Saccharomyces cerevisiae S288C: one gene and its partner. The protein of the gene in region 1 purifies or fractionates together with the protein of each later gene. This does not show direct contact. Each region holds a gene or a part of one and is shown in the gene's direction. Other genes may lie near its edges.

What was found.
Region 2: the proteins of IRC22 (region 1) and YGR126W purify together in Saccharomyces cerevisiae (affinity purification with mass spectrometry, with the first as the bait; one large-scale study listed by BioGRID). This does not show direct contact.

What each region holds. Positions count from the first base shown.
Region 1 is NC_001137.3:149,801-153,237, reverse strand, and holds IRC22 (Irc22p), read left to right. Parts: upstream 1-2,259; coding exon 2,260-2,937; downstream 2,938-3,437. Other genes in the region: WBP1 (dolichyl-diphosphooligosaccharide-protein glycotransferase), read left to right, coding at 3,224-3,437. UniProt on the Saccharomyces cerevisiae protein: Is probably involved in a pathway contributing to genomic integrity.
Region 2 is NC_001139.9:743,838-747,174, forward strand, and holds YGR126W (uncharacterized protein), read left to right. Parts: upstream 1-1,997; coding exon 1,998-2,690; downstream 2,691-3,337. Other genes in the region: VSB1 (Vsb1p), read left to right, coding at 1-1,598; YGR127W (uncharacterized protein), read left to right, coding at 2,961-3,337.

The sequences.
Region 1 (3,437 bases):
TAGCTCATCGTTCTGCGAGAGCGTGTCTAAAGATAAGCCGATAGTTTGTATCCTATTTAGGTTAAAAGCACGTGGCACGAGAAACGCGCACGCACTTTCCACCATTTTTCTGCATGGTGGCGGTCCGGCCAATTGAGACCTCGCAATGATTAAGTCTTCCGAGCGCCAGGGTTCGAAAAGTGGGATGCCTTGGTTGTTTTCTTTTTTTTTTCGCGATTGTTTTACAACTTAATAGGTGTTGCCCAACTATTCGTAAAAGGATCAGTGAGTCAGTAGTGAGCAATATATGCAGAAAGAGTACTTTTTTTTTTTTCTGACGCAGAAGAGAGAGTTCCTATCTCAGGGAGAGAAACTTCAATGTATTAGGTTTTCTTCGGATCCGTGGGCACTTCTTGCCGCGTTTGCATATGCAGAAAGAAATGAAGAAAAAAGAAAATGAATTAAAACGCGAAATAAAGCGATGCCGCTATAATGGAAAAAAAGGAGTCGCGACATATGTATATGCATTCATCGTTCTCATATATTGCACGTTCCGACCACGATTATAGAGTCATCTACCATACACCATTATTATACTTTCTCTTCCTATCTGTCCAACATTTCTAGATAAGCCTTACTACGCTATCAAATGGTTAGTCTTGCTGTCTTCTAAATTTAGATCTCTTTCGTTGTTCGTCCATAAGGGTTCTTTCTTGATGCAGGATATGCATTTACGTTATTTTTTGTACGTCGTACTCTGGCTTATCGATGAATACAGACATTGAATAGCTAGTGATATTTTATCGGAAACGTGTACCGTGAAATGGTAAAAGTTTTGTTTGACTTTGAGCCAAAGTAGTTACCATGGTTGTTTTTTTCTTAATCTTGAAGGTAATCAGGATAAAGAGAATTACAACCATGTTCGTAGCTAAAAATCTCCTTATAGCTAACAACTGCTATTTATGTGCGGCTTTGTCAGCAGGAATTATACCGCATTTCCTTGATTTACTGTCTTAAGCTCACCTTCAACATTGTTTAGCAGTAACATTGTACTTTATTTTTAAGGAATAGTTTAGTTGAAACGCCAACAGTGGCTTGCACTAAACAAGACTTTATACTACGTTTAGTTTTTCTTTTCCTTTTCTTGAAACCTTTTTTTCTTTTCGGAAATCTAATACTGCTACAATTTTTATATATTTTTCAAATTTTTTATTTAATAAATATTGAAATAGAAAATGAAATTAAATTTATATTTTTTAAAAAGCACGTGATTAATTTGATGTTTCATAGAAATTTTAGTTTAATATTGAATCAGTCATTTACAGATTCATAGTTCTTAAATAAAACATATCTCGGACTTATGTAGCATGTAGGAGAGATGTATTTTTGCTTGGCCCTTTGTTTACCAATTAATCACATCTGCATTGAATGGGCTTGATGGTAGGCAAGCGTTCCCCTGTTAATGAAGAAACCCATTCAACAAGGAAGAAAAGTGGACTAATTTGATATTTCAATGTGTTAGTTAAAGCAAAAAGAATTCAAGAGTAAATATTTGAATTTACTTCATTTGTTAAGGTTAACAATTTAAGGTGTTGATTCTTTAAAATTATGTTCTCGCCATTCAATGACAGAAACATTACGAAGTGCTAGGAGGTATATTATTAATATGATAGTTTTTAGTTTATAATATTTGTCAACTCTAGTTGTTTACGCATTGAAAAGAAGTACGGTGTAATCAATATCATGAATATTTGAGAATAAAAAAACAGTTTTTGTTGCTGTCGGCCTATGGTGCTAGGGCTGACTGTTTGCTGATTTTTTCCTTCCGTTCCCTAATTCACAAAAAATCGATCATTATTTTTGATTTAGGCAATGGCAAAAATCCACGATATAATAAAAACCTGTGATTTCAAGCCTTGCAAACAGTAGACAAGCGCCATCTGTTTTCATTATGATGACTTTTATCATAGAGGATCTTGCCATTTATCGCTATCTATATATATTATATAAATACACTATACGATAATCACAAGCGCATGATTTTTGATAGTGATGTATGCTGCTTGACTACACGATGTATTCCGGGAATTTGGAAATGAGTTTATGCCTCCAGTTTATTTATTCATGTTTCGTAGTTCGGTAGTTCGGGTAAGTAATTTTGTCATTGAACGTTAAGAAGATTTTGGTGAAGTTTCAAATTCTGCAAAAACAATTACATACTAGTGGTTAAACAAAAGAAACAAGTAAAAGTTCACTGTCACTTCTTTATAGCTGGCAATTATGAGGTTTTCTATGTTAATCGGGTTTAATTTATTAACTGCCTTGAGCAGCTTCTGTGCTGCCATATCAGCTAATAATAGCGACAATGTCGAACATGAACAGGAAGTTGCGGAGGCGGTAGCGCCACCTTCTATTAATATAGAGGTGAAATATGATGTCGTTGGGAAGGAATCAGAAAATCATGATTCTTTCCTTGAGTTTTACGCGGAGGATACCGCTACCTTAGCCTATAATGTTACTAATTGGGAAGATACTAATATCACAATTTTTGGTGTCAACGGAACAATTGTTACATATCCACATGGTTATCCTGTGGCGGACATTACAGGTGCGAGTATTGGGCCTTACGAAATGGAGGTCAACGGAACTTCAAAATTCGGGCAAGACGTTACGTTAAATTTACCGGAAGGACAATACTTTTTAATCCCATTTTTATTAGCTTCTAGGTTCGATGAAATCGTGAGAATTGCGGCACCACCAACCCTATTCGAAATTGTTAGCCCACCTATTTCCTTTTTCAACCCACAATTTTTATCAGTTCAGGTCATCTTTCTAGCCATCATCGGAGGTGTAAGTTATTACTACATGAAGTCTAAAACAAATCAAAGACCTTCCAAGAAGAGTGCCACTGTCAAAAAAGTTGATGAATCATGGTTGCCAGAAACCTATAAAAAATAAAAATGGCGGAGTAAGATCTCTGGATGATGATAGGGGGCTCTCATTGTTTTATAGATACATATTAGTATACTACAATTAAAGATATCCCAATATCTACTTTCGATATTTTCAGGGCGGGTTATTGAATAATGCATTACCCTAAGCTACGCCTGAAAAATATCAAACACGCTTCTTGAAAAGAGAAACCTTTAAAGAGGTGTATAGTCAACTGAATTGGTTATAAAGTTGAATACTTTAACACAATTGACGGTGCAAATTTTGAATTATCCTTTTTTGATTATTTAGGATGCGGACCGATTGGAATTTTTTCTTTTGTATCCTTCTGCAGGCCATTTTCGTTGTGGGCACACAAACTTCAAGAACGCTTGTTCTTTACGACCAATCTACGGAACCTTTAGAGGAGTACTCAGTCTATTTAAAAGATCTAGAACAAAGGAATTACAAACTTGAATATTTAGATATTAACAGTACTTCCACTACTGTGGATTTGTATGACAAAG
Region 2 (3,337 bases), on another chromosome or scaffold:
GAGAATTGATTGCACATGGTTATTCCAACTTTTTTAGTGGATTATTAGGTTCTGTCCAAAATTACTTGGTATATACCAACAGTGTTCTGTTTATTAGGGCGGGCGCTGATTCGCCATTCGCTGGGTTCCTTTTAATAGCTTTGACTATCTGTATTATGATCATTGGACCAGTCATAATATCATTCATTCCAATCTGTATAGTGGGCTCTCTAATTTTCCTACTAGGCTACGAGTTATTAGTGGAAGCGTTGGTCGATACATGGAATAAATTGAATAGATTCGAATATTTGACTGTTGTCATTATTGTTTTCACGATGGGTATCTTTGATTTTGTCCTAGGTATCATCGTTGGCATTTTAATTGCATGTTTTTCGTTTTTGGTGGATAGTACGAAATTACAAACCATTAACGGTGAATATAATGGGAACGTCGCAAGAAGTACAGTATATCGTGATTACGTTCAAACAAAATTTTTGGATGGAATTGGTGAACAAATATATGTTTTAAAGCTCCAAAACCTTCTGTTTTTCGGAACAATCATATCTATTGAAGAGAAAATTGAAAGATTGCTGCAAATAAGTAACAAAGATGCAACAAAACGCAGAATAAAGTATTTAATATTGGACTTTAAAAATATTAATGCCGACAATATTGACTATTCTGCGGCAGAAGGTTTCAATAGAATTAAAAGATTCACGGAAACCAAAAGAATCAAACTAATCATATCTTCAATCAAAGAAAGGGACCGTATTTACAACGCCTTCAATAATGTGGGATTACTAAACGATGTGGAATTATTTGCTGATTTAAACAGTGCGTTGGAATGGTGTGAAAACGAATTCCTTTTTCAATATAAACAATTAAGAAAAAAGGCGAAAGAAAGATTGGAAGAAGGAAAGCAAAATAATGTCGTATCCGCAGTAATTGCAGCCACTAAAAACAAAAAAATTGATACAATAGGAAATGGTTTAAACAGGGGAAGCAATGGAGACACAGCGAGAAACTTAATGTCACTACCAACCAATACTCCTCGTAATTACCAAATACTTTCTGTAGCACAGAATGTATTTGTAAACGACGAACAAGCAGTGAAGAATTTCAAAAAGGAGTACAAAGATGATGAACCTGTCCTGCCTATATTGTTATTTGCATTAAAGCAGTACCGACCCGATATAATATCTGAAGTTCAAAAAGTAAGAGAAAAGGAAATCAAGTTTTGGGCACAACTCTGCCCCTACTTCACCAGGCGCAGATTAGCAAGTCAATCACATTTACTACATGCAGACAACATTTTTTTCCTTGTGGAAACAGGTATGTTGAAGGCAACATATGAACTACCACAAGGAACCTTGTACGAGATTTTTTCAAATGGCACATGCTTCGGAAAAATCATTGCGCCAGGGAATGCTATGCCTAGAGAACAAAAGCTCACCATCGAAACTGAAACTGATTCCGTATTATGGGTTATAGACTCTAGCTCGTTGAACAAATTGAAAGAAGACAATCTAGCATTGTACGTGGAGGTTGCATTAATGGTCATGTGTATCAAGGACACCAGATTCAAAGAATTACTAGGTTACACACTTGTTAGCGCATGAGAGCGTACACGTATATTTATTTAATTTCTTTTATTGCCGGCGTATTGCAAGTAATTTACACCAGTACTAAATAAAAGCAGGATGCTCCTGCATCTGTATAAGTGATGCCGTTGTAGGATTTTTACCATCTCGACTATAAACTTTTTGTACTTGAGTCTTCACTTCCGGAATTTTACTGCGCGATTTTCTTTGATAGGGCCCCTATCGTAGACGAAAAGTGATAATTCCCATCGATGAGCAACTACATACCTCACTTGACTTAATTGCTCTCCTAAAGAAAAAAAATACCGTTACTTTTTTCATTAATATACTACCACAACAATTCACAACGGGTAGTTGTACGGTTAGTTTATATCCGCATTAACAAATCAAAGTCATAACAACGTATCAACGTAGACTATGCCTGTCCCATCTGTTACTGTCACTACCGATAATGAATATGAAGACATATCGTCCTTTTCTTCTATTGACTCTTACAAACCGGAGCCCTTTACTGGGTTCAAAGATTCTGAAGCTCCAGAACAGCCTCTTTTAAAAAACGATACCATTGTTGGAAAGGGGCAACTGGAAGATGATAGTAATGTAGATGATCAACACCGTCATTCAGATGTGCATTCTCATCACAGTTCTAGTACTTTAAAAAGGCCAACTTCAAATTCGATAGAAAAGATGGTTACCCACAATGCTTTAGAGGGCAACTCAGAAACAGTTGATTCCTTAAAAGAAGATGGTTTAAATTTGAACAAGAAAGCTCTTCCGGATATTACCGCCCCAGTAACAAACTCAGCTCACGATGCTGCATTTCCAGAAGAGTATCGTTTAGAAACTGAAACCGGGTTGGTCAAATTGAAGACGCTTGAAAGTTTGAAGAGGGAGGACTCTCGCGTATCCTCAACTAAAAAAGAGCATATTAACGACCATACAGATATGCATTCGACACGATCCAAGGTTACTACAAATTCTCAAGGTTCTTCTCTAGAACCAAACAAGTTGAACATGGCAGTAGAGAAGAATAAGAAGAGGATCGAAAAATATCAAAAACATAAATCAGAAAAGGGGATCAAGGGGTTTTTTCATAGAATTTTCGATTAAGTGGCATAGCAACATTTAGTTCGCAATGCGTTTACTTCAGAATCATTCTTTTTTTTTTTTTTTTTTTTTTTTTGCCTCACATTATATTCTTGGCATCTGCCTAGCTTTCGACTTTTTCGTTCAATTCCTAAAGCGCTAAAAAAATAGTCTCCCCCTGAAAGTGGAGTAGGATAGTAGTATATGAAGTGAGGCAGAAAAGGAAAGAAACGCTTGCATTTATTAACACACCTGTGGCTAAAGTATTAAAAACCAAAAACTAACGAACAAATAATGTGCATTTTAATGGCCACAAGGGCACATCCTGACTATGAACTCATCTTAATATCTAACAGAGACGAATTCTTGGCAAGAAAAACACATGCTACATGCTGGCATAACAATGATTTTATCCTTTCACCCTACGATCTGGCCAAAACCTCAGCAGAAAAACAAATATTTGGCACTTGGTCTGGCATAAATAAAGAAGGAAAATTAGCCACTATTCTTAATTTAAAACTTGACAATGAGCAAAATAATACGAAATCAAGATCCCGTGGTCTGTTACCATTTATATTTTTGTCGATCCATAAAGCAGATTTTGAAGATTGGGATAATTACAAAAAGTTTGAAGGTCACTATGATGGGTTGAAGTCCACAGGTGATTTTAA